Linked DNA regions of Oryctolagus cuniculus. The protein of the gene in region 2 interacts with the protein of the main gene of each other region in a pairwise test. Links are inferred from orthologs where the notes say so. Each region holds a gene or a part of one and is shown on either strand. Other genes may lie near its edges.

What was found.
Region 1: the proteins of EFS (region 2) and SH2D3C interact in a two-hybrid assay, tested with the Homo sapiens proteins (2 studies listed by BioGRID and IntAct). The two-hybrid records come from large-scale screens. The link is inferred for Oryctolagus cuniculus from reciprocal best matches to the Homo sapiens genes EFS and SH2D3C.
Region 3: the proteins of EFS (region 2) and SORBS2 interact in binary tests that used the Homo sapiens proteins (3 or more experiments, as listed by UniProt). The two-hybrid records come from large-scale screens. The link is inferred for Oryctolagus cuniculus from reciprocal best matches to the Homo sapiens genes EFS and SORBS2.

What each region holds. Positions count from the first base shown.
Region 1 is NC_091432.1:231,182,340-231,192,370, forward strand, and holds the end of SH2D3C (SH2 domain-containing protein 3C), read right to left. Parts: intron 8,955-10,031; coding exon 8,407-8,954; intron 7,706-8,406; coding exon 7,590-7,705; intron 7,196-7,589; coding exon 7,024-7,195; intron 6,571-7,023; coding exon 6,459-6,570; intron 6,273-6,458; coding exon 6,066-6,272; intron 4,691-6,065; coding exon 4,515-4,690; 3' UTR 4,145-4,514; downstream 1-4,144. Other genes in the region: TTC16 (tetratricopeptide repeat protein 16), read left to right, coding at 1-110; TOR2A (prosalusin), read right to left, coding at 225-744, 927-1,058, 1,560-1,735, 2,161-2,426, 2,873-3,023. UniProt on the Homo sapiens protein: Acts as an adapter protein that mediates cell signaling pathways involved in cellular functions such as cell adhesion and migration, tissue organization, and the regulation of the immune response.
Region 2 is NC_091443.1:51,684,994-51,695,193, reverse strand, and holds the end of EFS (embryonal Fyn-associated substrate), read right to left. Parts: intron 9,091-10,200; coding exon 8,836-9,090; intron 8,678-8,835; coding exon 8,537-8,677; intron 8,440-8,536; coding exon 7,717-8,439; intron 7,433-7,716; coding exon 7,343-7,432; intron 5,965-7,342; coding exon 5,530-5,964; 3' UTR 5,027-5,529; downstream 1-5,026. Other genes in the region: SLC22A17 (solute carrier family 22 member 17), read right to left, coding at 1-232. UniProt on the Homo sapiens protein: Docking protein which plays a central coordinating role for tyrosine-kinase-based signaling related to cell adhesion. May serve as an activator of SRC and a downstream effector. Interacts with the SH3 domain of FYN and with CRK, SRC, and YES.
Region 3 is NC_091433.1:67,762,093-67,773,027, forward strand, and holds the start of SORBS2 (sorbin and SH3 domain-containing protein 2), read right to left. Parts: upstream 5,234-10,935; 5' UTR 5,096-5,233; exon of another isoform or gene 5,092-5,095; intron 1-5,091. UniProt on the Homo sapiens protein: Adapter protein that plays a role in the assembling of signaling complexes, being a link between ABL kinases and actin cytoskeleton. Can form complex with ABL1 and CBL, thus promoting ubiquitination and degradation of ABL1.

The DNA.
Region 1 (10,031 bases), on a different chromosome or scaffold from region 2:
ACCTCAGCAACACCAAGACCACCGAGGGCGCCAGCCCACGCGAGGCCGGTCAGGAACCCGGCGTCACGCTGCTCCCCGAAAGGCCCAGTGACGCCCCCGAGGCTCACTGAGGCGGGGAGGCCCCGCTCCCCCAGCGCTGGGGCCTCCTCCCAGGGCAACGAGAAACCCGCGCGGGCACCGCTCTGGTCCACGGCTGAGTTTATTACACTTGTTCTCTTAGAAAATTAAACACTTCCCGAACCAGGCCCCGGTGGCAGCTCGAGTCCCTCCACTCCGGGCACCGTGGGGCCCTGGCCTGGGTGCGCGAGAACAGGCCCAGGCGGCACGCAGCCGCCCCGCGGGTCCCTGAGTTCCAGTTCAGACGAGGAGGCTCCGGCGGGCGCGGCGAGGCTGTGGTGACCAGCGCCCTCTGGGCCCCGGGCCCCGCCCGGCCAGCGCTCCTCTGCTCCTTCACTTCGGGTTCCGGCTCCCCCTGTCCCGGAGGCCCGGCCAGGCAGGGTCACAGGAAGAAGGCGAGCCGGGAGGCCACGGTCTTGCAGCCGTTGGAGGAAAACAGCTGCTCGTCCTCGGGGAAGAAGGGGGTGGCGTCCAGCACCGCCTGCACGACCTCGTCCCTGGGCTCCAGGCCCAGCTGGGCCAGCTCGTTGAGCACGCAGTGCCGGACGTGGTGCCGCTGCAGCGGGAGGAAGGGCACCAGCGCGTCCAGGAGGCGCTCCTCCACGATGCCCGAGCGCCAGAAGCCATCTGCAGGGAGGCCAGAGGAGAGGAGCCGTGTTCCCAGCGCAGGGCATGGCAGGTGCAGGCCCCCGGGCCCCCGGCCCTCCAGCAGTCTGCCCTGAGCTGGGAGCGCCCAGGGCAGCGGGGGGAGCGTGCGACCCCAGCCACCCTAGGGAGCCCTGCCCACCGGGCCCAGGCCCGAGCCCGACTCACGGTGCGGGTTGTCCAGCACGGCGCGGGCGATGACGGGCTCCAGCTCCTGCAGGCCAATCTCCTCGCGCTCCCGGCGGCTGCGCCACGCCTCCAGGGCCACCTGGTTGATCTGCTCGCCGCCGGTGTTGCTGAAACCGTGGGGCACCCAGGCCGTGACTTGAGCAGGGAGCAGTGAGGGGCCAGACCCGGCCCAGGCGCACGGGAGCGCAGCCACCTGCCGGCGGGAGCCCCGACCCCTCTCCGGGGCCAGCTCTGCAGCCCCGGCCCCTGTCCTCCACCTCAATGCCCGTCACAGGGCAGCTCGTGTTCCTGACTCTCCCTCCCGCAGCCCGATGGGGCCCTGATGCCGGTGCCAACGTCCAGAGGAGGAGGAGCGAGCTCAGGGAAGACACAGCCAGGAGACTTAGCAGGGACCAGAGGACGGGAGTGCTTGTCCTATGTCCCCCTGGCTGCCCCACGGGGGAACCCGCAAGGGGTCAGGACCTACAGAACGGCCCAGGTGCACCCTGAGAGGTCACGGTCAACCACCCAGAGTGACTGTCACCGGCCAAGAGCGGGAGGGGCTCGGGCAGGGCTGGCAGGGCCTCCAGGTGCCTCCCCCACGGCGCCCGCAGCAAGGCCACGCCCACCTGATGAAGATGAAGATGGCTTTGCGGTAGTTGGTCCCGTACACGACCCAGGAGGGGCCCAGGAAAGGGCGCAGGACCTCCATCAGGCCCGGGGGCAGCTTGTCCATCTCGTCGAAGAGGAAGAGAGAGCGGCCACAGGCAGTGAGGTTGCCCTGGACCCAGCTCTTAAGGTCCTTCTGGGGGGCAGAGACGGGAGCTGGAGGGCGGCTGCAGGTACCCCTCCGCCCCCGACGTCCCCCCCCAGCCGGGCCTGCCCCTGCCAGGGACTAGAGCCTTCCAGACGGTGCCACGGGGCCAGAGAGAGGCAGACAGCTGCCCGCGGCCACACAGCCATGCCGGCCTCCGCCTCCCTGTCCAGGGCTCCTCCTGGGGCCCTTGCTCCTCCCTGCCCCGGGAGCGCTCCCAGCCGCACCGTCAGCGGTGCAGAGCGGCGGAGCCAGCAGCAGCAGCAAGAGCCCGTGTTTGCCACGGCGGTGGTCCACGCGCTCCGGCAGCAACGCGGGCACCCACACGACCCCTCGCGGCCACCCTGCCGCCCCCCGCGAATCAGAGACCTCGGCCAGCTCTGTCCCAGGCTCCGGGCGGCGCAGGCGACGGGTACCTTGTAGCGATCCATGAGGCTGGGGTGGGGGAAGTGGATGATGGGGGAGAAGTGGTGCACCCGGGGGCTGCGGAGGCCCCCCTTGAAGAGGTAGCGGGCCAGCAGGGAGCTGAGGTAGGACTTGCCGGTGCCCGTCCAGCCGTGCAGCGAGAGCACCAGCGGCTTGCTCGGCGCCGGGTCCCGCACGAACGCCTTCAGCGTCTTCACCACCAGCGCCCTGGCCAGGTGCTGGCCTGCCAGGTGCTGGGCCAGGTCACACTCCAGACCTAGGGCCACGGAAGCGGAGGCGGCGCTCAGGACACGCCCCCACAAGGCAGCGGCCCAAGCAGGACGTCCCGGCCGGAACCGGGCTCAGACGTCTGTCCCAGCTGTGGACAGAGCCCTGGGAGTCGCTGCGGGAGCCGCCAGGCGGTTCTCCAGGGTCCTAGATGAGGGGCTGCCTCCCGCCCCCTGCCGTCCCCTGCTGTCCAACGGCTCCCGCCACCCCGGCGGCCCTCCTGGACCCCAAAGGGCACCCCGGCCCTCGCCTCGGCTCCCTGCCTCAGGTCCGGACCCCTTAGGCTTCCGGCCTCGGCCACCCTCGAGTCCGCGGGTCCCTCCCCGCCGTTCGGCCCTCTGGGTCCACAGCTGTTCCGGCCCGGAGCAAGCCCGGAGCAAGCCCGGGGCTCCCGACGCTCCCCCGCCCTCCGGCCCGGCTCCCGCGGCTCCTCACCCGGGAAGTCGGGCCGGAAGTCGCATTCACAAAAGTCGCCGAAGTTGCAGCGCAGCGAAGTCAGGTCCCAGGAGGCGGCCGCGGCCGAGACCAGCCCGAGCAGCCCGAGGAGCGAGCCCCAGGGCCGGCGGCCGCGCGTCACAGCCGCCATCCGGGCGAGGCCCGCGCTCCACCTGGAGCCACCCTGGCCCCGCCCTCGAACTACAACTCCCGGCGTGCACCGCTCCGAGGAAGCCACGCCCCGCAGCCTACAACTCCCGGCTTCCCTCCCGCCCTCCTCAAAAGGCCCGCCCCGTCGTTCCGCAGCAGGACCGGAAAGCGGCCTCTAGGAGGCGCCCGCGAGCCGCCCAATCCGCGTTTCCGTAGCCACCGTAACTAAGGTGCCGTCGTGGTGGCTCAGAAAGAATGATGCCCTCGGAGGGTGACGTGACAATTGTAGGGAGAACTGGTGCGGAACCTTACTCCACGCTGTTTTTCTTCCTTGTAAAGGACGAAAGAGCGCGCACTGGTGGCTCTTAGCGTGCCCTTAGTGCCCTACGGCACTGGCCGGAGCGGTCATCACTGACCCCTCGCGAGGTACGGGACCTGGCTGGCCGTGCCGGACACGTAGCTCCCTCATGGCCCCCTTCTCTCAGAGGAGCACTCAAGGGGAGAAGCCATCACCCGCTAGTACTCCGGCTGCTGCGCCGGGCCCCATCCCAACCTGCCAGCCTTGCCGGAGCTGAAGGGCCAGCTCCAGGGGACCCCACTCTGCGGACAGCCCCTCCCCACCCCGCCGCGGCCCCCGGCGAGCCCCGGAGTCCTGCGGCCCGCGCTGCCCTCCCATCCCCATCCAGGCACACACAGACTCCGGGGCCACAGCTCAGTCTGCAGGAGAGTAGCTGCTCCCACCCTTGGGGAGTGCAGAGGGCCCTGGGGCGGCCACTGCAGCCGGCTCCAATCCGGGGTGCGCCCTGGGGCGGCCACTGCAGCCGGCTCCAATCCGGGCCGGCAGCTGCCCCCTGCACTCGGAAAAGCCTTCCCCGGCCAGCACCTTGGGTCCTTGGTGGTGGGTTTGTGGGAGCCGGCGTGTGGGTCTCAAGGGGGGAAAGGGGTCAGATTAGGGGTTCCCCCCGCCTCGGGCCTGTGGGTCCCTCCCGGGCAGGCGATGACTTCAGCACTGGCGTAGCTCTGGCCCCCGGCTCAGTCTGCGACGTCCCCGGTGCTGCGGAGTCTCTGCCGGGCACCCAACCCAGAGAGGCTCCCTCCCACCCTGGGCCCCGATGGACAGAAGAAAGTCATAAAAGTTTATTATATGAAAGAGAACGTGGCTCTGTACACGTATTTACAGGTAAACCCGGTGCCAGCAGGGCAGGGGAGAGGCCTGGAGCGGAGGGAGGCGGTGTGAGGGGCTCCCCTGGCTCAAACTGGAGTCTGGGGGCAGCAGCAGCAGCAGAAGCTGGGGCAGGGGTCCCTGTTCCTCCCGGAGGGCGACCCGGGGAGGGTGCGGGGGGGGTGCCCAGAGTCCACGCAGGACCCTGAAGTGCAGGGGGGTCCTGGCGCTGGACTCAGAACATTCTTGGGCTGATCACAGTGTCCCTGGGGTGCTCTGAGCCCTGCCCCCCGGTGCCGCCCGCAGCCGCAGAGGGCAAGGTCCCCGGGGTCACAGCTCGCTGGAGCGGACCGCGGGCTCCAGCTTGTGGGACAGCGCAGTGAGGACCTTGTCGAACGTCTCGTAGCGCCGGGCCTGGCTGTTGCTGGCACCCTGGCTGCCCCACAGCAGGCGCATCTGGAACTCGGTGCTGAGCACCTCCAGGAGCTCGGGCCGGGCCTGGAACCCTGCAGGGAGGGGGTGCGGGGTCAGGGCACCGCCGGCCGCCGGCCCCCACGCGCAGGGCCCCCCCCCCCAGAGCGCCACGGGATTCCTGATGAGCGGGTGCTCTGTCCCTCTGCACCGTGTAATTTTCAAGAAATTCAAGGATTGACGTTAACTTTTGGGGAGATCTTAGGTGTTTTCCTTTGTATCTTTATATAAGTTCCAAATGTTTTCTATTATATATATATACATATTTTTAAGTAAATATAAAAATATGTATTTTTCTGAAAAAAGAAAAGGGGAAGATGTACATTAGAATGTTTGCAGCGTTTACTGCTGGGTTATTATGGGTTAATTTTTTTTTTAGGATTTATGGATTTATTTGAAGGCAGAGGGACAGAGAGAGAGGTCTTCCAGCCACTGGTTCCCTCAAATGGCCGCAGTGCCCAGGGCTGGGCCGGGCCGAAGCCAGGAGCCTGGAGCTCCGTCCGGGTCTCCCGTGTGGGTGCGGGGCCCGGGCACTCGGGCCCCCTCCGCTGCTTTCCCAGGCCACAGAGGGAGCTGCACTGGAAGTGGAGCCGCCGGGCTCCAGCGACGCCCCTCTGGGTGCGGGCACCGCTGGGCAGGGCCTCACCCCCTGCGCACGGCACCAGCCCCTGCTCCGGGCGGTTGTTTAATCTGATTTTTGCTCAGCTGTAATTTCCAAGTTTTCCTCTGGTGAATTTTTATGACTTAAATAACGCAGTGAGCACCAAAAGAGGGGCTGTGGGAGGCTTCTTGCGCAGAGGGAGTTCTAGGTCTTGGCCAGACCCAGCTCCTTGAAAACTGGGCCCAGGAGGCCCACTTCACAGACGGGAACACCAAGGCTGGCGGAGGTCAGGGACAGCCAAGGGCTCTGACCCTCACCTGGCCCCTGCCGCTAACAACGGCTCCCTGAACTAGCGAGAGAGGGCAGAGGGGCGAGGGGGACCGGGCAGGACAGAGGGGTGAGGCATGGGGCCCCCCGCGGGGCGTGGGAGCGGCAGAGGCGGGGTCCCGCGGGGCGTGGGGAGGGGGAGGCAGAGGCGGGGCCCGCGGGGCGTGGGGGCGGCAGAGGCAGATCCCGCGGGGCGTGGGGAGGGGGCGGCAGAGGCGGGGTCCCGAGGGGCGTGGGGAGGGGCGGCAGAGGTGGGTCCCGAGGGGTGTGGGGGCGGCAGAGGCGGGGTCCCGCGGGGCGTGGGGAGGGGGCGGCAGAGGCAGATCCCGCGGGGCGTGGGAGGCAGAGGCGGGGTCCCGCGGGGCGTGGGGAGGGGGCGGCAGAGGCGGGGCCCGCAGGGCGTGGGGAGGGGGCGGCAGAGGCGGGGTCCCGAGGGGCGTGGGGAGGGGCGGCGGGGCAGGCCGGCGGGGCCCCGCACTCACCCTGCAGCTTGACCTCGGCGTTGGTGTGGTACAGGCCCCCGTGGTGCGCCACGGTGCGCGCGGCCTCCAGGTGCGCCAGCACCACCTCCACGCCGTGCTCCGTGCTGCCCCAGGGCTGGGGGCCCTCGGCCGGCGCCGCGTCGTACTCCAGCAGGGTGATGAGGGGCAGCACGTGCGGGAAGGTGGTGCTGCTCAGCGGCGGGCCCTCTGCGGGGGAGGGGGGGGGCGAGGGTCAGGTGGGGGCGGGGCAGCCGGGTCGCGGAGGGGGAAGGCGGGGCCTCCAGGTCGCGGGGGGGGGGGGGCGGGGGGCCTCCCGGTCGCGGGGGAGGGGCGGGGGCCGCTGGGTCGCGGGGGGGGCGGGGGCCTCCCGGTCGCGGGGGTGGGCAGCGGTACCTTTGCCCTCGTTAAGGCTGCGGAGGAAGGGCTTGAGCTGCTTCTCGTACAGGATGGCGCCCTCCGTGTGCCGCTGGCGCAGGGTCACCCACGTCTGCTCCAGCCGGGCAATCTGGGGAGACCGCGCTGTGAGGGGCCAGCGGGGCGGCCGGACTGCCCCGCGCCGCCCCTGCCGTGCCCACGGACGGGGCGGGGCCGGACCCCTGCCGTGCTGGGCGAGGAGGGCCGGGGTCGCCCCACTGGAGCCCGCAGCCCTCCCGGCCCGCTGCGCCTGCCACCCCGCCCCGCCTGAGACCACGGCCTCGCGGGGCTGCCTGGACACCTGCCACTGCGCCGAGCACGCAGGGCGCGCGTGCGCTCTCTCAACTCGCGCCCCTCGTCCGTCTGTAGGGGGGCCGGGGGCCCAGGGCAGGGGCGGGCCTGGCCAGCCTTGGAGAACTCAGCTCTACGCTGGCTCTTTCACCACGGTGCCCGGAGCCCCCCAGCCCCTCCTGGTTCGTGCGCGGCCATCGCGAAGGCACGCGCCCCAGGCTCCTCCAGCCTCGCCGGGCGAACCCCACGGTACCTGGGCCATGTCCAGGGCGCCCATGACCGCGGCGAAGCTGAACATGTTGCCCATGGTCCCCCGCAGCTCGGCCGCCAGCTGGATGGTCTTGTGCAGCAGCGCTGCCCGCTCCTCGGCCGAGCCCGTGCAGCCCAGGATGTCCACGGCCAGCATGATGGACATGGTGTGGAACCTGTCGGAGTGCCAGGTCAGGGGGCGGGGCCGGGGCCGGGGTGGGCGGAGAAGGGGCGGGGCGGGGAGCGCGGGTGGCCCAGGATTGGAGGCGCGGCCAGGGTGATGGCCTCTGATTGGTGGGTGTAGGTTGGGGCGGGACCAGGCCGCCAGGCGGAGTTTGTGATTGATGGTGGAGGTTTTAAGAATGAACGGGGGACTGATGGGCGGGGCCGAGGCTGACGGACAGCGAGCCCACTGGTCCGAAGGATGCGACCGCGGACTTAGGCTTTGGGAAGCCAGGGTCGCTCCGAGCTGTAGATGACGCGGTCGTGACTGGGCAGCGGGGTGGGGGCGCGGCCGGAGGGGCGAGGGCTCCCGCGGGCTCCCCGGGTCCCGGCCGGCCAGCGCCTCACCTCTCCAGCAGGTCCCGTCGAAGCTGCCGTCCGTGGGGGAGGGTGAGCAGCTCCATGCCCCAGCGGACTCCCATGAGGGTCTGCATCTCCTTGGTAACGCCCAGTATCCTAGCAACCTGCAAGGACGCCCAGAGCGCTGATTAATTTCCTGTTGGTGCCGACCCGAGCTTGATTGGAGGGTGTAGCCGGCCAGGGGGCGTGTGTGGACGCCACAGCTCCACCACTTAACCCTGTGGCACGGAGCGCGGGAGGGCGCCTCAGTTTCCCCATCTGTGAAATGGGGCATCAATGTCACGATGTTTGTAAAAAGTACCTGACGCTCAGATGAGCTTGCCCACGGCTCACCCTGGGCCTAACCCTGCAGCTTTCCTGCCTCCCGAGCTCCGGGACCAGTGTAACCAACCAGCTCCTCTGAAGGTCGAGGGGAGCGCAGAGAAAACTGGGGTCCTCAGATGGTCAAGCGCCATCCGCGACACACCGAGGGCCCAGCTCTGCACGAGCCACGGCTGCTGCTCACTTGGCCACTAGGGGGCGTGGGGGCGGGGAGCCGGGCCTTGCCCAGTCCCTGGACCCGCAGGCGCAGTCTCGGACTCTTGGGGTCCCCAAGGGCATCCGGCCCCCGAGAGCCCTGCGTTTCAGGGGCTGCCTGGTTCTAGCGCCAACCCGGCACTGGTCAGAGGCAAGAATCCCTTGGCGTTTGCACTTTTAAGAGGAGACCACGGAGGCCCGGAGGGAGAGAGTGGTTAAGACACAGGCTCCTCCCGCCGACCCCTGGGCCAAGCCAGGGGCCAGAGGCGCAGCCCCCGCCCGCACCTACCAGGCAGTCCACCTTGGTGAGGTGCCGGGCCAGCGTCCGGGCGTCCACCTCGGCCAGCAGCTGCTTCACCTTGCGCAGGAGGCCCACCTCCAGGGGCCGGTTGTCCTTGGGCATCAGCAGGGACTGGAAAGTGGCCGGGCTGAAGGAGGAGGTGGCTTCCACGACGGGCACAGTGAACGCCTCACCCCGCTCCCGCTCCCGCTCCCGCTCAGGGGCCCCGTGGCCCGACAGTTCCTTTGGCCTCTCCCCGTGGTTCCTGGCCTGCCGGCTGGAGGCATCTAGCACCGCCCACTCCCTGCTGCTTCGGACCGGAGGCTGGAGCTGGCAGTAGTGGCCGCAGTCCGTGTCGCTGTAGCCGCTGAGCGACGGCGACGGCGAGGCCTTGCAGAGGCTGTGCGAGGGGCTGGCGTGAGGACCCTTGTCCGGCTCCCCGGGGGGCTTTGGGGTGCTTCCTGCACACAGCTGGGGCTCACTGGCGCGCCGGGCGACGGGGGAGGCAGGCAGTGCTGTGGCAGAGGGGGCTGCGGGGGCGGCGTGGACGCGGGTCACTGCGGAGGGGCAGAGAGAGAGCACTCGTTACCGCAGCGTCGGCGGGACGGACGCCGTCCTCCCTCCAGGGTGAGGCCGGGGCCAGCAGCCCTTGTGACGTCCTGCAGGCTCAGGCTGTGCCCTGCACCGGGTTCGCCTGTCCCCCAGGGCTGCCTGTGTGGACTCTCATCCCCCTCGGGGGTGTTAAGATGACAGAAATTGGGGCCGGCGCTGTGGCATGGCCAGTAAAGCCTCCGCCTGTGACGCCGGCATCCCACAGGGGCGCCGGTTCAAGTCCTGGCTGCTCCACTTCCGATCCAGCTCCCTGCTAATGCGCCTGGGAAGCAGCAGAGGACAGCCCAGGCGTTTGGGCCCTGCACCCACGTGGGAGACCCAGAGGAAGTTGCTGACCCCTTGCGGCCATCTGGGGAATGAACCAGTGAATGGAAGCGCGCGCTCTCTCGCTCTTGCTCTCGCTCTCTCTCTCTCTTTTTCCCCCTCTCTCTCTTTCCCCCTCTCTCTGCAACTCTGCTTTTCAAATAAAATAAAATTTTTAAAGATTGATTTATGGGGCCAGCACTGTGGCATAGAGGGTGGAGCCGCCGCCTGCAGTGCCGGCATCCCATTTGGGCGCTGTTTTGAGTCCCGGCTGCTCCACTTCCCATCCAGCTCTCTGCTGGGGCCTGGGAAAGCAGCAGAAGATGGTCCAAGTCCTTGGGCCCCTGCACCCATGTGGGAGACCCGGAAGAAGCTCCTGGCTCCTGGCTTCAGATCAGCACAGCTCTGGCTGTTGCAGCCATCTGGGGAGTGAACCAGCGGATGGAAGACCTCTCTCTGTCTCTCTCTCTCTGCCTCTTCTTCTTTGTGTAACTCTGACTTTCAAGTAAATAATAAAACTTTAACAAAAAAAATTGATTTTTTTTTTATTTGAAAAGCAAAGTTACAGAGAGAAAAGAGAGACAGACAGATCTTCCATCCGCTGGTTCACTCCCCAAATGGCCACAATAGCCAGGGCTGTGCCAGGCTGAAGCCAGGAGCCAGGAGCCTCCTCCAGCCTCCCACATGGGTGCAGGGGCCCAGGGACATGAGCCACCCTG
Region 2 (10,200 bases):
CGTTATAGTCCCAGTCTTTGAGGCAGTGGTTGAAGTCCGGCGGGGCGAAGCCGCTACACGCAGGGTCTGTGCTGGTGGCGACGCGGCTGGCGGCGCTGGCTGCTAGGGCCGCGCTGGCGACGCCGACGCCGCTGGCATTGGGGGGCTGTTCCCAGCCAGTGGCATTGGGGGGGAAGCCGCCGTAGTGGCAATGCAGCGGGGGCGCCAGCGTGAAGATGGGGTCCGAGGCCATCCCCAGCGCCACGAAGAGCACGGGCAGGCAGCAGAGGCCGAGCTGGAGCTGCTGGCCGCCGCCCAGCGCCCCCACCTGGGCCAGCAGCGCCTCGAAGCTGAGGGGGCCCGGGGGCACGGCCAGGGACAGGCTGCTGCCCAGCCCGCCGCCGCCGCCCGCCGCGCCCTCCCCCTCCCGCTCGCGCTCGCGCTCACCCTGCAGCTGCTCCGCGGGCACCGCATCTCCCAGGGTCCCGACCTGCTGGGGCGGGGGCAGGAGGCTGAAGCGCAGACACCCGCAGAGCACGGGGAGGGGGCGGAGGGCCGCGGGGGGCTTCGGGGGCTGGGGGGCGCGGAAGGAGGGAGCCGGGAGCGCCGGCGCGGGCACTCACTCCGTTGGAGCCGGGGGTGATCTCTACAGAGCTGTCGATCTTGCTGCTGCCCCCGCCATTCGGCTCGGGGGTCCCGGTGGCCACCCGGGGAGCCAGCTTGCCGACCGCAGGGGCCCTGCCGGCCCGCGCCGAAAGGATGGGCTGTCCTCTGGCCCAGCTGCGCGCCGGGGCCGGACGCGAAGAGCGCGGAGAGACCCCAGTCCGCAGCTCTGCAGCTCGGTCTCCGCGATCTCTGCGCTGCTTTCCCCTCCCCTTCCTCCAGACTCTCCTCCCCTTCCCACGTCAGCAGAACCTTCGGTCCAGACTCTTCGTCAGAGGGGGAGGGGCTGGGGGCTCGGCCGTCGGTTCCGTGGGTCTGCGGGCCATTGCGGTAAAAACGAGAAAAAAAGCTGAAGGATAGCAGTCAGCCCAGACCGATGCCAGAGATTCCTCCTTTGCTGCCGGTTCTTCCCCGTCATTCATTCATTCGCCTCTCCATCCACCAACTCATTTCTTCATCAGTGAAATCTTTCTTCTTTTTAAAAGCATATTGTATTTTTTTGAGCTAATGTGTGTGTGTGTGTTTTAGATTTATTTATTTCTAAGGCAGAATTACAGAGAGACAGAGGTCTTCCTTCTGCTGGTTCACTCCCGAAATGGCCACAGTGGCTGTTGCTGTGATGATCCAAAGCCAGGAGCCAGGAACTCCTTCCGGGTCTCCCATTTGGGTTCAGGGGTGCAAGGACTTGGGCCATCTTCCACTGCTTTCCCGGCACATTTGCAGGGACCTGGATCAGAAGTGGAGCAGCTGGCGCTAGAACCAGTGCCCTCATTGGATTCTGTTGTCACAGGCAGCGCCTTTACCCGCCGTGCCACACAACACTGGCCTCTTCATCCGTGAAGTTTCCTAAATGCCCACTCTGTCCCAGGCCTTGTGCTAGGCTTTGGGGCTAGGCCTGGAGGAGGTTCTGGGAGACGTAGGCACGTATACCCGCGTTTCCAGGCAGCTGATGCACACGGAGACTGGGTAGGCATCGCATGCGACTTTAGTTTCGGGTCTCTGCAAGGAGACTTCTTTGGGTCCCACCACCTCCGTGTCGAGTGACTCTTCATCAGTTCTCCGCGGCATTGGGCACGGTTGACCACCCCTCCCCCTAAACACTTTCTGCCTTGGCTGCCAGGTCTCATGTGCTCCTGGCTTGCTTCCTCCATTTCAGACTCCCTCTGCCCTTCCTCACTGCCTTCATTGTCCGCAGCCCTCAGAGGCTTGGTCCCAGGCCCTCCTCTCACCACACACTTTGTCTTCACCTTGGGACTTGGCCCTCGCCCACAACTGCCACCACGATGCAAAGCCGGCTCCTAGATTGACATCTGCAGCTCCCACCTCTCTCCTGAGCTCCATGAAAGAACAAGCTCTTGTTGGTTTCAGCGTTGCTGACCCACAGGGGCCTCAAACTCAGTATGTGCAAGACCCAACTCACGCTCTTGCTCTCTGCAACCTGCTGCTCATGCTTCCTTCTACGGTGCTGCTACCTGCATCATCCAGTTGTGGGCAGAGCCTCAAGCAAGAGCCCCGGAAACGCCTTCCTTACTCCACGTTGAGTCCTGCCCATTTGAACCCCCAGCTCTCGGTTTGTTCCTCTCCATCCTGACCACTTTCTCAGGCTGCGTTGGGCTTCTGATTCCTAACAGGTGTTCCGCGTCCACTTCCCATCATCTGTTATTTATAGTGCAGTGCAAGTGGAACAGTCTTTTCACGATGCAGATCGGATCACGTCCCTTTCCTGCTTCCCTGCCTGCAGCGGCTTCTCCTCACCATCAAGCTAAATATTAACATTCAAGAGGCTGCACACGTGGTCCTGCACACCTGGGCACAGGCTCTCTGCAGCTCCATCTCACTCTTCTAGTTCTCTACACTAGAGCCACACTGACCTTTCCCCCAGTCTTTCCTACGTTACAGGACCTTTGCAAGACCTGGTTCTTTAAAAAAAAAAATACTTTATTTGAAGGGCAGAGAGAAAGAAGTATTTTCCACCCACTGGTTTACTCCCCAAATGCCTGCAACAGCCAGGGATGGGCCAGGCTGAAGCCAGGAGCCCAGAACTCAAACCAGGTCTCCCACATGGGTGGCAGGTACATGTACTTGTGCCATCGCCTGATGCCTCCCAGGGTGTGCCCTATCAGGAATCAGGAGTTGGAGCCGGAGCTGAGATTGGAACCCAGGTATTCTCACTGGGGATATGGGCACCCTGAGTGATATCTTCGGTGCTGTGCCAAACGCCCATCCTCACCTAGCTCTTATGCCTACCAGGCTTCTTGGCCAAATCTTCCTCATCCTTCAGCTGTCAGCTCAAGCATCTTCACTGCAGAGAATCTATCCATAACCCTTCGAATTGCTGCTCACAGTTGGCTCATGGCCGGCAGCATCTTTATGACCTTGTTGGAAGTGCAGAACACTCCCCTGAGACTCGGGTGCAGTGTTCATGGGTGCGTGTACGCACTTCTCTGGGGGACCTGGTACCTGAGAGGTACATTCTGCTCTCATGCCAGGTGAGGGCTGGCAATGGGAGTCGTGTCAATCTAAGCCGAGCAGTCCACCCAGCTCTTCTACACTGACCCACAGCATCAGCTTGTCTCCTCTGTTGAGAAGTTTCCCGAATAGGAGAAACTTTTTTTTTTCTCCTAATGCATCAAACTGCCTCCCAGCATTTCCCCTCCTTGAATGCATTGCAGCATCTCTTTGGGATTTATTTCAGTAACGTTCCCTGGGAATTCGTTTTTCTGCATCATTCTACCTGTCCTGGAAGATAATCCCTGACTTTTACGTGGTACCAGGTGGCTCATATGCAGTATTGTGTTAAGTCTTTGTACCAACCGTGTAAAACCATATTAAAAAATATTTTATTGGGCACGGCGCTGTCGTGTAGTAGGTTAAGCCTTTGCCTGTGGCGCCAGTTCATGTCTTGGCTGCTCCTCTTCCGATCCAGCTCTCTGCTAATGGACTGGGAAAGCAATGGGAGACAGTCCAAATGCTTGGGTCCCTGCACCCACATGGGAGACCCAGAAGAAGCTCTTGGCTCCTGGCTTTGGGTTGGTCCAGCTGCAGCTGTTGCTGTATTTAGGGAGTGAACCAGCTTTCTCCGTTACTCTACCTCTTAAATAAATAAATAAATAGATTTTATGGAAAGGCAGATCAACAGAGAGATTTCTTCACTGGTTCACTCCCCAAAGAGCTGCAAAAGCTAGGGCTGGGTCACCCATGTGGGTGGCAAGGGTCCAAGTATTCAGGCCACCTTCTGCTTTCCCAGGTGCATTAGCAGGAAGCTACACCAGAAACAGAACAGCTAGGACTCAACTGGGCTGTGCCATGCCAGCCCCTGAAAACCATTATTAAAGCTGAGACCAGGACATGGATGGACCGGCACAATCATCCACAGATACAGAAGTACACGGCAGACCTGAGATGTGAACTGAGACCTGACTCCAAGCTAAGTGCTTGAAATTGTTTGGAAGATGATGGAGGATGGCCTTCAACGCATAGCCACGAATTCTGTTGGCCCCAGGGTATGGCAAATGGGTTTTCCTTTGCCAGGGAAATGAGAAAGGAGATGCATCAGGCTGCCCAGAGACTAAGACTGGGATTGAAATTGGGGTGCCCCTAATCTGTTTATCTAGGGAAGACAAAGAGTGGGTCCATGGCTTAGACCTTGTTCCTCTTGGAGTGGCCCTCCTCCCCCGCCCAGCTAAGCCATAGATTCACCAATGTCACCCAAGTCCTGAGGCCCCTGGACAGCTGACACCTTGCACGGGTCTCCTGCCTCAGCCCCTCTGAAAGATGGTTTGTCTGAGACGGCCAGCAGGAAGTGGCCACTAAGGGGCTAGTTTCTCCTGGGCCAGCTGAGGAGGCAGCCGGGTTGCCTACAGTGTGGAGCTAAGAGGCTGTTGGTGCAGGTGACCTCTGCAGGGCAGCATTTTTGGAGGGTCTTGTGTGTGCAGCCTGTCCCCATCTGCACCTAAAACAAGAAGTCCTGGGGGAAGGCCTCCATGTCAGCCAGCGGTGTCTGCTTCCTGGGACCCTAGTCCTCGGCCGCTCTGGGCTGTGTCCCCTCTGAGTCAGCATCCACAGTCTGAAGTCTCCCTCACTGGCCTCCGTCCTCCCCGAGGTGGTCTCTTCACTTCATCCTATTGCTCCCAGTCACCAGTGCCGCTCCAATCTGGGGTCGGTTGAGTTTTCATGTGCTTCTTTTAACAGACTTATTGCTATCTAGGCCATCCTCACCAGCATGGCCCACTCACCACACACCTGAGAACCAGGCCTGGTGCATCACGGGAATGAAAAGTTGCTGAAGAAGCAAGCCAAAGTCCCCCAGGTTTGTGTGTCCTACAGGCATGGCTGAGGGCTGCCGGGCCCACCTCCCAGGCTCCCAAGAAGCAGAGTCAGGGAGTCAGACAGCAGAGTTTATTGAAGAGCATCCGCCAGAGGCCCGGTCCTCCTGCCTTCAGCAGGGAGGGGCGCTGGGATCTCTCCCAGACTTTCATTCTGGGGACTCCGCGTCCAGCCCTTGCTCCCTAACCCGGAGGCACCGATGCTGGACAGCTGAGTAGCCACGGGTTTCGGCCACGAGACTGTGTGGCCTGCTGAACTTCCAGAGGCAGGTGGCAGGACAGCAACCTCCACCGCCGGCTGAGGGCTCGAGAGGCCAGCTCCTCCCTGCCCATAGGGCCTGGTGCCTGCCCCTGACGAAGCAGGGGATCATATTAAATATAAATAATTTATACAAAATGGCTCGTACAAAAAGCTGCAGGTGAGGGGAGCAACAGACGCCTTTGAGAGGCTGAGATGGCGAGAAGGGGCAGGAAAGATACCTCCACTCTCCTGGCCCCTAGCACAGAGCACCCCCCCCAGGACCTGGAGGAGCTCTGCAGGCCGGGAGGTGCCGAGGGGTCCTCAGGGGGCCAGGCTGGTGAGCAGAGTGGTGAATCGCAGGGCCTGCCCTGCCAGCTCTGCCACGCACTGCGCCATCTCTTGGACGGCAGGGCCAGAGGGGTAGCCCAGGGCAGCCCCCTTGACGGCCAGGACGGTGGCCCGCAAGGCCTGGCCCAGCGCTGTACCTGCAGCCCCAACCTGTCCTCGCAGAGGTGCAGAGGCCGCCAGGCGGCCCAGGGTGTCCCCCACAAACACCAGGCGGTGGGCGGCCACCAGCACCCGCTTGCTGTGAGGCACGAAGAGGCGCGGCGGCTGGTTGGCCTGGGTGCTGCGCATCAGGGCCGCCACCGCCGTCTGCAGCGCGGAGAAGTGGCTCTGGCACTGGCCTGCGTAGAACTGCAGCAGCTGGAGATCTGCAGGGGACAGAGCCAGTGGCTCCCCTGGGCACGGGGCCTCCTGCGGGGTGAGAGGCGTGGTCAGTGCCTGTTCTCTCCGCTGCTCCCTTTCTCCTTCCCTCTTCCCTTTCTTCCTTCCTGTCTCCCATAGGGTATCCCTTTAGCTCGTAGCTCAGCCCATCAGGAAACTTAGATTCTTAGAATCCAGGCTTGATGTCAGAGAGAGCTGTGTTCAAAGAACCTCAACCTGAACTTCAGACAAAACCTCTGAGCTTGTTTCCTTCTCTCCTGGGAGTCGAGTCCTGCACTGCTCAATGTAACATGAAGCACGGAGACACTGCGAACTTCCTAGCAGCCCCTTTAAGAAAACTGAAAAGAAATGAGCGTGTTTTATCCAACTCCAAGTGTAAGGAAATGCTCTCCTTTTTTTTTTTTTTTTTTTAATTTTACAGGTAGAGTTATAGACAGTGAGAGAGAGAGACAGAGAGAAAGGTCTTCCTTCCGTTGGTTCATCCCCTAAATGGTTGCTACTGCCGGCGCACTGCGCCGATCCGAAGCCAGGAGCCAGGTGCTTCCTCCTGGTCTCCCATGCAGGTGCAGGACCCAAGGACTTGGGCCAACCTCCACTGCCCTCCCGGGCCATAGCAGAGAGCTGGACTGGAAGAGGAGCAACCGGGACAGAATCTGGCGCCCCAACTGGGACTAGAACCCGGGCTGCTGGCGCCACAGGTGGAGGATTAGCCAAGTGAGCCATGGCGCCGGCCAGAAAATGCTCTCCTTTCAACATGCAACCAAAATGAAAATTAGGGGGTCTTCCCCATAGGGAAGCTCATAATCTGGTGTGCGTTTTCCATTCACAGCCCTACTGCAATGAGATAATACGCAGCAAGAGTTCAGCGCTTGCCACTGCACACAGCACACACCACAGGAGGGATCGCTATCAATCTGTGCTGGTGCGCACCATCGGTAAATACCCGGTCAATGGCAGCTGTTGTGTTCCGACCACTGGACACAGGGTCAAGGAATGCACCTCGCTTTCCCGAGGCCCAGCAAAATTAACTGACAGCTCCAGAGCCGCAGGCTTCTCAGCGGTGGAGCCGGGATTAGGAGCCAGGTCTCTTAGGAACCCAAGAATCCACACTGAAACGAGCCCGGCTCTGACCCGCAGCCCAGAAAGTCTTTCAGCTCCCCTGGCTGCCTGGTCTCCTGACTCCTCTCCAGCGCATTCTTTCCCCTCTTTCTGAATTCCTGATATCCTTTTCCAAGTTCCAGCTCTTTCCTGTCGGATTCTGACTCCTCTCCACTCCCTGCTTCACGCGAACGCTCACCTCCAGTCTAATCAACTCCCTGATGGCTCAGCTGCAGACGCTCCTCCCAAGTGCCTGCTTCTCCTTCCCCGTCTCCCCAGCCCCCCACTCCACCTCGCCCCCCAGGGTTACCTGCTTCTCCGGCAGCTCCCTCTCCAGCAGTTCAGGCTCCCCTGGGAAGGCCTTATCTTGGGGCCTGGATCCCTGAGCTTTATCCATGCCCTGCAGAGGGGAGCCGGCCTCAGTGCAGAAGTGGGGAGCAGGGCAGTGTGGCCTGCATGGCCTCTCCACCCCTCTGCCTTCCTGCCAGTGCTTTGTCCCTGGACTCCAGGTTTGTGAGCCCTGGTGGCCCCAGGCTAGGTTTAGGGAAGGAGTGGGGCACCAGGCCAAGCAGCAGGGTCCCAGGGCTGGGGGACAGGGAGGCAGGGAGGCTCTGCCTCCGTGGCTGGCCCGCTTCTCTCTGCACAAGTCACCTGGGGCTCTCATGGGGCTGCCTAAGAGCTCACCTTCAGGTGGACGTAGTCATACTCCTCGGCCATCGGGATGCCCTCATACTCGTTGTGGGGTCCTGTGGGGTCGTCCTCCACCTCCCCACCCTCTGGGTCCCCCTCCATCTTGGGGCCCCCGTAGCCAGGCAGGCGGGGTGGGGGTGGAGGCAGGGGCCGGTCCTGGATGCTGCCCTTGCGGCCTGGGGCAGGAGAGGGAGCTGGAGAGGGGCTGGGGGCCTCTGGGACAGGCAGGGCGGGCAGAGGGCGGCGGGACAAGCTCTCGGCGGAGGGCAGCCGGGGCCTGTGTTGGGGTGGGGGGCTTCTGGGCAGAAGCTGGGACAAGGTGTCCAGGTCTTTGGAGGCCGAGGCTCCTGGGGGCTCTGGAGAAGGAGGTGGCTCGGGCCCCAGCAGGGGCACATCATAAATGCCCTCATCGGTGCCTCCGCCCTCCCCGTCTGTCAGCAGTTCCTCGGGTGCTTCGTACAGGTTGAGGAGCGCTGAGGCCCGCTTCAGGTTGGACGGTGCAGTGTAGAGGGGGGGCCCGGGTTCTCGGCCCCCCTCCCACTCTAGGTCGGGCTCCAGCTCTGTTGGTGACTTCGGGGCCAGCGGCACATCATAGGGGGCTTCCTCCTCTCCAGTGGGCTGGGGGGCACCCCGGGCCAGAAGGCGGGAGAAAGAGGCCGGCGAGTCGTAGGGGCTGCTGGAAGGCACACGGAGGGCGGTGGGGGGCACATCATAGACCTGCAGGGAGGAAGCCGGGAGTCACTCTCCAGCTTAGGGAGGGACCGCTCCCCCCAGGACACACCCCATCCCAATACACGTGGGCCCTGGCTCTCACCTCCAAGGCGTCTCCTGGGGCGGCCAGCTGGGTTGCGCTGCCTCTGGGGACCTTGTAGATGGAGTCAGGGGAAGGTGGGCAAGGTGCAGTCAGAGGCCCCGGGGCAGGACAGGGTCGGGCTGGGGGTGGCACCACGTACACCTGGGGATGAGGAAAAGTGGGTGGGAGAGGAAGAGTTTCGGATGAGGGAACTCCGACAGCAGTGGCTCAGAGAGGGTGGGGACAGACTCCAGGCAACACAGAGCCGGGGAGAGAACAGGGCTGTCCTGGCTGGGGCTGGGATGGCTCCCCACTCTCACCTCCTGGTCCTCTTTGCTGGGCTGTGGGGCTTGGGGTGCTGCGGAGAGGCTGGGCTTGGGTGCTGGCCCGGCAGGAAGGAGCTTCACTCTGTTGGCAGGCACGATGCCCTGCTGGCCGTGCAGGGAGCAGAGGCACCAGCCGTCCAGCCCGCCGGCGCCCTCCCTCTGCAGCACTCGCAGAACGTCCCCTCGGCGGAAGGACAGCTCCTGGGGGGACTCGGCCGTGTTGTCGTATAATGCCCTGGCCAGCTGGGCCTGGGGGATGAGGGCGGAATGAGGAGAGGGGTCTTCTCACACACAGCGGCTTATGTCACCCCCTGCTCAAGACCCTGCAAATTTCGAATTCCCCATTCCCCTCCAGCTAAAAATATGAACTCCCGACTGGGCCTGCCCTGTCTCTGGTTCATCACCTGTGTCCTTCCTCTTGCTTTCTATTCCTTCAACTACACAAGGTTTTTTCCTGCCTCAGGGCCTTTGCACTTGATGTTTCCTGTACCCAGAATATTCTTCCATTGGCTGTTGATCTGGCTTTTTGTCATCCTCCTGTTCTGTTTAGGATGTCTCCTTCTCCAAGAGCCCTTTTCTCCACTCTTGTCTCTATTCCAGCTGTGTCTGCCTCCACCCCTCGTTTCCTTCATAACGTGTCACATTGTTCATCGACTGACTTTTTCACCATCAGTCTCTGCTCCTACGTAGGACTGCTGTCTTTCTCGGCTTCTGCCACAGAGACCCACCCCGGACACTTCTGCTGAGTGAATTTCTTCCAAAGCACATGATCAAGTCCTGCCAAGTCCCCTCCGTGCCCTGAATCTCCTCTGCCTTCCCCGAGTCCCCCAGCCATCATGCCTCCCAAACAAAAGGGTTCCTGAAGCAGCTGCAGAGACCCCTTGGAGACTGGGAAGCCCGGTGCAGACGTAGTGCTGAGGCATAATAAGAAAGAAAACAGAAAGCGAAGCAAGTGTTTTGTTGTCAGTCTCAGCGAATAGGGCTCTACCAGAAGAGGCGGAGGTTGCCATGGAGAGAAGTGTGTGCTTGTGTGAGTATATGGGCATGTGTGCAGGGACTGGCAGACTGAGCATGCCACATGCTCATGAGCCTGCTTCGTCTGGCCAGAGCAGCTGAGCGTTCTCCACTGAGGACTCCAGCCTGGGGAATAAGTCACAGATGCAAAGTGGAAAAGATTTCTTTAGACACCGTGCAAGTCTTGGCATTGCTCAGCTCATCCCATTTCATTCTCACAATGGCCACTGTGGGACGAGCCATCACTACCCCACCCTGGGAAATGGCATACAGCTGGCACAGCTGGCAATGCACGATTCGAACCTCAGGCTGTTTAACTGCGAACCTGCACTCTCTCAGTCTCTC
Region 3 (10,935 bases), on a different chromosome or scaffold from region 2:
CCAAGCCCATAACCTCAGTCTGATCATTAGAAAAATCTCTGAAAAATTTCAATAGGAGGACATTCTACAAAACACCTGATAGCATTTCTTCACATTGTCAAAGGCCATCTCAAGGAAAAGAAAAAAAGGAAAGGAAATTGTCACTGCTAAGGGGAGCCTTAGGAGATATAATTGACTAAATGTGACATGGTATTCCAGATAGAACCCTGGAACACAAGACGGGCATTAGGTGACAATCAGGGAAATATGACTGTTCATTATGACTTTAATAACAATTTGTAGATACTGGCCCATTAATTTTAACAAAGGCACTATATGCTATGTATGATATTAATTATAGGGGAAACTTTGTGTGGGACACATGAGAACTCTTGTCCTATCTTCACAATTCTTTTGTCAATTTAAAATTGTTCTAAAAGAAAATACTGGGTGATCCAAGTTAACTAATAGAGTAACTAAAATATAATGCTTTGGAATGAAATGAACACTTTAAGATTTGATGATTGTTTATAGGCCTTGTCTCTTCTGTTGAGGAACAATGTTTTTTTTTTTTTTTTCCATACTATGTGTTGAACTTTTTACATAGGGTAGGGTTAACTGTATGATTATTAAGTAAACTGAAAATCGATCTTTGTAAAAATTAGGAGTGGGAATGGGAGATGGATGAAGAAGAAGGGTTGGAGTGTGAGTGGGTGGCAAGTATCACTATGTTCCTAAATCTGTATATATGAAATACATGAAACTTGTATAACTTAAATAAAATTTAAAAAATGAAAAAAACAAAAATATTACAATGGATATTTTGTTTCTGACCTAAAATAGTTTGTGTTTAAAGTAAAAGAATATTTTTGTGTTCAAAACAGGAAAGTTGAACTTAATAACTGCAATAACTCACACTGGAATACAAATAAACTTGTGGTCTGAGAGAATCTCTTTGTAGGAGGTTCTGAATTGTTTTTTGCTTACATTCTCCAGAACCTCCATTTAAGCGTCTGCCCTTTCTCTGCTGATTATACTTACTTTGGGGACATCAATTCAGATATACCAATAAATGCTGCTCTTTGAATAGTGAAGTTGGTGCCAAATTACAGCTCCTACGAATAGGAACCCCAGGTTTTGTTACTGCTAGTTTTCAAATGCTTTATCCAATAACCGGACCAACTATCATCATTTTGCTAAATTAAAACTGTATCTTAAATAAAAGTGCATAGTATTAAATAGAATAGTGACTATAAAATTTTCAACATGAAATCTGATAGCAGTTTAATTTTCTAATAAGTGTAGACTACAAATCTTACTAAGTTTAGTCTGTTTAAGGCGTTAGTGAAGCAACAAATTCATTTTTACAACAATTCTTCAAGAGAGTTTAGAAACCTTCCCACTAAGAAAATAGCAAATCAACTCTAAGCTTCCTGGGTGACTTAGCATCTTACAGCAGCCAGAAGACGACGAAGCTCCTTCAGAGACTGACTCATGCAAGTTCATCTACAACTATCTAGGTCTCTCCCAATTGGTCATATTTTCATTGGGTATTATTTACTATGTCTGGAATCCTAATACTTGGGAGTCTTTAATGAGAAAAATAATACCAAAAAATGCAATGTGCGGCCAACACAAATTTATATGATCAACAAGAGAAAAGAATGTTTTCAGATCCTCGACTTGATTATTTTTGTTTGATGTGACAGATTTGCTGAAAAAGCTTACAAATCCTCTCTTCTCCTCTCTTCCTCTCCACCTGTCCCTACCCCCACCAACATATGCATACACACTACACACACACACACACCATTTCACAACGTCCCATCTGACTGTTAACACACACGTCAGCTCTAGGCTGCCCAGATTTTGAGGATAATTGAGTCTACTGAGTACTCATTTATTCTTGGTATACACTACATTACAAGTAATAGTACTGAACTTTGCAATGGTTACAATGTTCCCTGAGAGTATGTCAGTAAAACAGGCAAAAAAAAAATCTAGAAGTTTATTATTTTTCCACCAGTATATTTAACACCACCTTTTGAGAGTGAACAAAAGGCACAGTGTCAAGTAGATAGACCTGGACAAAATGCTGCTGTTTGTTCTTTATGAGCACAGGGGCATATTTAAGCACAGAAAGACATTCCGCGGGTCTCCTGGGACTTCCTTCTTTCAGCTGAATTATGCCAGCATGTTCACACCACGGTAGTTCAGACTGTGTTGGAATGTAAAATGCAGACATCTATTTGCCAATGCTTAAATACCACAGCTATAAAAACTCATATTAGGATTGAACTTGGACTTAAACTATCATGGAACAAATGGGAGTTTATTGGAGGAAAAAAAAAAAGTGTGTCCACATGAAATTACTGTAAAAAGATATGGAAATAAGGAATGTCCTTGTTTGACAGCTTCTATACTTATACAATGAAGCCTCAAAGTCACCAGAAGTCACCTGGCTTTGGATTATGTTTCAAATCCGGGCTCACTGACATTCATGAAACTTTTGGCAAACATGGGCCAAGTTTCGAGCAAGGCTGGGTAGAATACTTCTTTCATGTGGGACCGGTGTGAAACTCAGAGGCTTTGGCTGGGTTTCCCCTTGAGTTTCACATCCAAACAACCCAAAGTTTCAGAGTTAAAATTAAAGGGGTGACACGTATCAGAGAAAAGAAAACAGCAACAAAACAGGAGAAGAAAGAGCAGTGGAGTGGCCGTCTACCATCCTTGTGCCATTTGATTTGGCAATGGAACTTGCAGTGCCTTCAACACTGCATTCACACCGCACACTGCTGAGCCAGGGGTTCCCAGGACTGACGGAGCTTTCTATATGCCCAAAGCACATACCTAACATAACTGAAGGATTTATAATGGTGATTATACACAGAAAATGTGATGATTAATATGCTCTTTCCAGTGCAGATTTGAAGGGGGGGAAGTAGCCATTAAGTGCCAAGTTTTAGAAATAAAAAAAATTCATAAAAATGTTTTCCAAACATTTAAAAATTTATATTTAATTTAGTTGAAGAGACAGACGCGGAAAGAAATAGAGATTTCCCTTCTGCTGGTTCACTCCCCTAATGCCCACCACAGCTGGAGTTGGACCAGGCTGAAACTAAGAGCCAGGAACTCCATCCAGGTCTACCACAATCACAGCAGGGAGCCAACTACTAGAGCCATGGACTGCTGCCTCCCAGGGTGCACCTTGGCAGGAAGCTTGAATCAAAGGAGGAGCTGGGACTCCAACTGAGGCACTCTGATGGGGGGTAGGAGCATCTCAAGAGAGGTCTTAACTGCTACTGCAAATGCCTGCTTGGATTTTTCCATGCTAAGGAGAAGCCCAGGGATCATATTGCAGGAGCCCCTAACCCAGAAGGAATCTCTTCCATGGCATTCACCGTCGTTCCCACCCTTTCAAAGTCGTGTGCTGCAGCCGGCCACTTGCTTCCTGTTGTCCTAGCAAGGTGCAGGATATGGGACGCAGACTGTGACAGCTCTGTGGAGCCACTGTCACTGACTGGCACTTCAACGGTCTCCCGACAGCATTAGATAAATCCTATTCCTAACCTTCAGCAGAGCGCACTTTCACTGGGCAACATTCGCTTCAGTATCACACTGAGGGCTTTGAAAAGGCCCTGTGCTTGAGGCAGGAAAGAAAACAAATGTAAAACACACATGAACTGTCCTTAAAATAAGAGAACAGTTCCAAGTGGATTGAATGACTAGTAAGTGCTATAATTTGCCCATTTTAGGAAATTTGGTTTTTGGTTTTTTTTTTTTCATTCTTTATCCCTCACACAGAAGTTCCACTAGTAGAGCACACTTTTGGCTACTGAGGTTTGCTAGTTTTTTTTTTTTTTTTTTTAATTTTCCTTTGCTTTCTTTTTTCTTTTTTAAAAAAGATTTTGGTTACACAAAAAATCACTATGCATTTAAAATGCATGTTCTTTGGACATGTGGTTTGTGACAGCAATGAACTCCTTTAGAAAAGAAAAACCTTTAAGCTTCAGGGATTTCAGTGTTTATGTTAAAAAAAAAAAAAAAAACCAGCAAGCAAGGCACATGGGAGTTCTGAGAAGCAGGACATGCAAGTTGACAGAATCAGCCTGGGTCCTGTGCCGTCACTTGCTGCCTGCTTTCACACATCTGCTTGGAGCAGAGCAGTGAGTTGTCAGTGTCTAAGTGGCGAGAAGTCTTGCCAGCAAGCCCTTTTCTCTTGGTTAAGGGTCCCCACAGAAGTAAAATCTAAGGCTCATCAGTGAGAAAGACCAAAGCCCCAGTAAATTATTTAAAAGAAAGGCTATCAAAGCATGAAACTGAGAAAGAGGGGAAAAAAAAGGCTTTTAACTGAACATAGTAAATACCCACAATCAAAGTAAACGTTATGTTTGAAGTTAAAGTCCACAGATCAAAGTACTTTGCAAAATGCGAAGTACAAGCAAAAGAAGGGAGAGAGGGGAGGCTTGGAAAACTATCCCAAATATTTTATTGTCACATTAGACAAACTCACCAGCAAATGTGCCTAGCAAAAGATTAGCTTAGGTAAGATTCGGCTTGAGAAAGAAATTCTCAAAACTGATCCACATAAATTGTGCTAAGGATATACAAAACAATTAAAAAAAAAACTAAAAACAATCTCCCCCCTCAAAACAACTGTTTTGATTCCACCCTTGCAGTGAACAGATGAAAACAGAACATATAATATAACTCTTTGTCTTTCAAGAACTATTACTAATCTATTTTCTTTGTCAGGTGTTTGTATCTTTTTTTTAAATGCCCTTAAAAACAAGAACATAGCCTAAACATCAAAATTATGATGTCTGAAAAGCCCTCTGGCTGCATCTTGTGCAATGAGGCTTAATTAGAGTTCTGAGCCAGCGCTCGGTCAAAGTCAAGTCTATTGCAGGTCAATATTACAGAGAGCTTCAAGCAAAGTTTAAAATTACAGCCACAAAATGCACAGATGCTACTGCTGTACTCTGTAACACAGTATTTACCTGGAAATCGTTCGGATCCCTCCCTTATTTTCACTATCATTAAGTTATTTTGAAAACACTGGTCATGAGCGGATAGAAAAACAATTAAATAATTCCAGAATAAAAACCTTACCTACAGGCAGCTGAGTTCCACAGTTGGGCTCAACAGAGGAAGTAGGAGTCAGTGGCCTTTTACATGTAGAGATTGTTTATTTAGCCCTTTTTAAAAGGTCTTGAACTCCAGAGGTTTAAGATTAAGTCCAAACCAAGCGTCTGAAGGAAAAAAAAAAAGGCAGAGAAGGCAAGTAAGAGAGGGGAAAGAATCCCAGCTGCTGGGTGGTGCTACCGTTCAGAGAGCTTTTGAGCTATTTTCAGCACGAACAGCAGCCAGAGTTGTCTGCAATGGGATAAAATGCCTGGCCAGAGTCGCCACCCCCACCCCGCAGGGGGTGTGTGTTGGGGGGGGGGGGCACCAGCCAGGAAACCCACAACAACTTGGTTCATTGTGCAAATATTCCCTTAAATTTTGAGGAAAACTGCCAGCATGATTGGAAACACCAAACCAACTAGTCTGGAATCTTAAAGGAACACAGTGCCTTGCCTTAGCCTTCAAGTTTGCACAATGCTTTACCTGAATGGCTGAAAATACCAGGCTCTTATTTATGCTTTACTGAGAACGAAGAGTTTTCTTCTGATATTTTAAAAAAATATTTTTGATCTCCCAATGGGACTATCTGTCGTCAGTCTATTCTTCTTAAGGCTGAAGACAAATGGTTTCTTTCTAGCTGGCACCTAAATTTCCAGTTTCATCAACTATGCTATTTTTGAAAGCTACTGGGTTAAGCTGTTGACATTTCTTATCTGTTGGCAGAGACCGGGGACCATTCAATGACACAATGCAGATACCCCTGTTTCTGCCTTACGAGGTCAGTGAAGAAATAATTCAGATGAGGTTACCAACAATGACTGGCAAGATTTGAGTCTTCATGTAGCTTCTAGAATTACCAACTAAGATCTAGAAGTCATAGTCATTCATTCATCCATTCATTCATTCAACAAATATTTGTGTGGTGTGCACTCCTGAGCCTCCTGTGTCCCATGCACTCTGAGAACATAATGGCTCTTGCCATCAGAAGCTCACAGCACACACATGCAGAGAGAATAAATAAAAACAGAATTTGCTACACTTTTCAGCCTCTTTTCCACATCAGATCTCTTTCTGCTGTGTCTGAAAAAGGATTCTATGCACATCGGAACTACTTCTGTAGTTTCATTATTGCCTTTTAAACAACATCACTATGAAGGAAAATCAGTTTCTCTGCCAAGGAAATATTTGCACATTTTTATAAAGGATTTATTCCCCATACCAGAGAACCCTCAGTCAGGAAGTCCTGCTGACGGCTTGACATGAGGAGTGGAAAAGAATTCTCTAATCTTGGTCCAGCATAAAAATCTCCTTGATACATTTTATAATTAATACTATGAGGGATTAGATGCTCATATCAAATTCATTTCTTTCTCCCCCATTAAAGCAAGAAGCTGGGGCCTATGTTTCGGCATAGCCGCTTAAGCCCCTCCTGCAGTGCAGGTATCCCATATGGATGCCCATTCCAGTCCTGCCTGCTCCACTTCCAACCCAGCTCCCTGCTAATGTGCCTGGGAAAGTGGGCAGAGGATGGCCTGAGTCCCTGGGCCCCTCTACCCACGTGGGAGAACCGGATGAAGCTCCAGGCTACCTGCTTCAGCCTGGCCCAGATCAGTCCTAGCTGTTGTGACCATCTGGGGAGTGAATCAGCTGATGGAAGATCTCTCTCTCTCTTCTTCTCTCCCTGTGACTCTTTTAAATAAAATAAATCTAAAAAGAAAAAAAAACTGAAAGACACTGAAACTAGTTAAATAAAATACTGAGGATTTTTTATGACATGTAGAAAAAGAGTTACATGACTAATCTGAGTACTAAGGTAAAATAGCGAAATCCTTCAGCTCACTACACCTTACATTGAAACTATTACATTAAACTAAGATTAAAACGCAATACTTGTTTATATTTCAAAAAACTCTGATTAGATATTTAAAGTTTGTTTTAAATATATACACTGGGCTTAAAAAGTCACTGTGGAATAAAGAGCTTTTCTGTACATTTCTTTCAAATTGTTACATTTTAATATGTGTTAAATACCTTCCAGTTTAAAACAGGACATTTGTTTTACTTGGTCATGATACTGATCACCAATTCTGCAGGCAAAATTGAACACCTGGCCTCAGTTTCTTTTTTTAAATCATTTTTACGTATCCCTTCTTATGATAATTTATAACAAACAGGAAAATACATTTGAAAATAGGCCTTCCTTGAGGAATTATGAGTGGTTTGAAACAAATGAGATTAACTGTTCACTAAGTCAGCCATTATTTTTAGATTGCCAGCAGCCTGCTTTCCACAGCGATCCTACAGGAAGTCTATTGCCTCGCTTTTACCTGTCAGTTATATTATGTCAAAATCTGCACTTGAACCAACAGGTGATGATGACCTTGCTGGCTGCTTCCACTTAGGAAGCCTGCCCACTCACTCACCAAGGTCTCCTTTATTCCTCCAGGACCCTGTCAGTACAAACAGCCTGTCCATAAGCACCTTTCAACAGACTTGATGTCACAGAAGAGTACAGGTTGACCTTTAGGCATATTTGAAAAGTTAGATGATAGTAAAGTTTCATTTTTCTACTTACTCAACTGCCGCGACTTTCATCTAATACAATTGAAGTCTTAACAATTGTATTCAATATTAATGATTTATATACATATATGTGCTTTCATTCTTTCTTCCATAAATAAACTGATGCAAAATCACTGGGAAATACCTGCATTGGAAGGGCTTTGGCATAACCCCACCTTGGTATAAAATGGAAATAATCGCATCAATGCGCAGCGGGCTTATGCAGATAAAATGCTTAACTGAGTAATGCCTGACACACAGCAAACATTTGATAGAAATTAATATTATTATCACTGTCACAATTCTAGAGCTATGCTGTCCAGTATGATGAGCACGTGTGGCTACTGAGTCTGTAAAGTGTGGCTAGACAAAGCTGAATTGTCATGCAAGCATGAAATGCACACTGGATTTTGGAGACTGAGTGTGAAAAAAATGTAAATTTTCATAGTAATATTTTTATTTTCATTACATATCGAAGTGATATTTTGGACAAAGGAGTCAAGTAAGATATTTGGCTAACATTTATATTACCTGTTTCTTTTTACTTTTTGAAATGTTACAACTAGAAAAGTTTAAGTTACATATGTGGCTTATGCTGTCTCTCTATTGGGCAGTGCCACCCAGGCAATGAATCTCAAACAGCAGTGAACCCTGATCACTGGAAGACTTCAAGAAACACAGCTTTCTGGAGCATACCCTCCCAGTTGCTGATTCAGGAGGTCTGAGGAAGGTCCTGAAATGTTTCCCATCTGGTAAGTTTCTAGATTATTTTTGACCACACTTTGAAATCACTGGTCTTGAGCCTTGGCACTTAAAAAGCAACTTCTGGGATGGCAGGGTGGGTGGGGAGGGTAGTATTTGGGTCAGCCATTGGGAATCTGCTTCTGATTCATTCGAGCTTCCTGTTTACACCCTGGGAGGCAACAAGTAATGGTGCAAGTATGTGTGTCCCTACCATACATATTAGACAAGAGATTGAATCTTGGCCTAGTCCAGGGGCATTTGAAGGGTGAACCAGAAGATGGAAGATCTCTCTGTGTCTCCATCTCTCTGCCTTTCAGATAGGCAGGGGTGGGAGGGTGGAGTGGGGGACAGAAAAGATCCATGGACCACTGTTAAGTTATCCCTTGGAATCTTGTCAGGAATGCAAAAATCTCAGGCCCCACCCTGATAGACTGAATTAACATTGGCATTTCAAACACATCCCAGGCTGCCTGTAGGCTTGCTGGCGTTGGACAGAAAGTGATATAGAGCAGTGTCTCCAAATATAGTTGACTTAATTAGTCTGGGCAGGACCCAAGCATCTGCATATGTAAAAGGCTTCCAATGCACAAGCAAGGTTTCAGAGTTTTTTGGGCAATGAGGCTCAACAGAACAGCTGTAGAAAGGTCAGGGTCTGGGGATCAGACCCTCCTGGAGAGGGGCGGAAGCCTGGGAATTGCCAGGTGCTAGGAGGACAGGACCTATGCAGAGGGTAGAGCTGGTGGAAACCTCAGAGCAAGGGCCAACGAATGGCTGTTGCAGCTTGCAGGAGGTAGTGCTGGGGTTGGGGAGCTCCCCAGGGATGCACAGGTTTGACTGAGGTTCCAGACTGCTCCAATTTTGGAATTTCAAAGGAAGATTGGACAAAGCAGAGCACAGCCTTAGTCTCAGAGGACCAAGAATAGCAGACAAGGTGGGATAAGATGAGAAACTTGATACAAGACTTGGAGTAAGATGCCAGTTCAAGTCCCAGCTGTTCCACTTCCAATTTAGCTCGCTGGTAATGCACCTGGGAAAGCAGCAGAGGATAGCTAAAGAGCTTGGGCCTCTGTACCCACAGGAGAGACGTGGATGAAGCTCCTGGTCCTGGCTTGGCAGGGCCCAGTCTTAGACACTGTAGCCATTTCAGATGGAAGATCTCTGTCTCTCCCTCCCTCTCTCTGTAACTCTGACTTTCAAATCAATAAAAATAAATCTTTTTTTTTTTTTTTTTTTTTTTTTTAAGAAAAAGACTTGGTATAAGTCAAGAGCAGGATCAGTCACTGCGTTTGCCACGTTTCTTAAACTCCGCATAACCACAGGAGAGGCTTCAGAGGCTTGAGAATGAAAAGAATCTTTTTCAGATGGAAATGACGAGGGGGAAAATGCATGAAAGTGCTGGGAGCCAGATTTACTGTATTTTTCCTTCTATTTCCCTCAGTATACAATAAAAATTGATACAGTTCTACGCGGTGGTCCAGTTAAAACAATGCACATTAAGGCCTAGCTGACATAGCCCAAACCATGCCAGCAGGTACGCACATCCCACGAGAGACTCTCATGAACCCAGATCACTGGGTCGGGTGGTGTAGAGGAATGGCCTTCCGTTCTCTCGCCTCCGCCCTGCCCGGGGAAGTGAGCACGCCAGTTCTGAGAGTTTGTCAGCACAGCGTCCTCACTCTGCCAAATGATCCTCACCTGTACAGGTGGCACCACAGTGCTGTGTGCTCCAGGGAGCTCCACATCACGAAATCCTCCCTGGGAGAGCGTGGCTCGGATTGGCAACGGCAAAAACCCCCAGTTCTGTATACATGCGGTAGCCGTCTGTATTTACTTCTCACTTTCTTGGTTGGCTGTTTGGAAAATGCTTACAAGATGAAAGTCTAAAGGCAGAGTGCCTGGGCTTGCGTCCTCATCCTGTCACTTATGTGTGACTTTGGACCAAACACTCGCTCTCTTTGTGCCTCACTCACGTCCGCTGGGTTGGTGTGAAGCTTACAATTGTTGTCATCTGCAAGAAATATAGAACAGTCTGGCTCATCATAAGTCTTGGCTAAGAAATCAAAATATATGTGAATTACTGTATTTCTAATTGTAGCTAAATCCAATATTTTCAGACACCTTGGTGATTTCCAAGGAGTTTTATTTGTGTGCTTTTTGAACACATATATTTTGAGGGCTTCTTTGTGTGTTGTTTCAAATGTTTTTTCCCAAGAGAACTCAATTGATTCCTCATCACTTCCCATTATTCCAGAGGATCTCAGTAGGAAGGAAGTGAATGTCGTTTTCCCAGGAATATTGTTTTCTAGAGTGCATTCCCCCTCCCACTAAATTCCTTTGAAAAGTGAGTTGCCCTGTAAATGTTTGACGACTTCTGTGGCCCAGGTCAGTTGAGTAGCATTGTCTAATATTCCAGGAGAACAATGCATCATTCTCTTGGTCGAATGTTTTGGTGCTTAGGGAGAGGGAGCAAGACAGTCTGAAAGAATGGCAGGAGTTTCCAAGATGCATTGAAAAGGTGGTCAG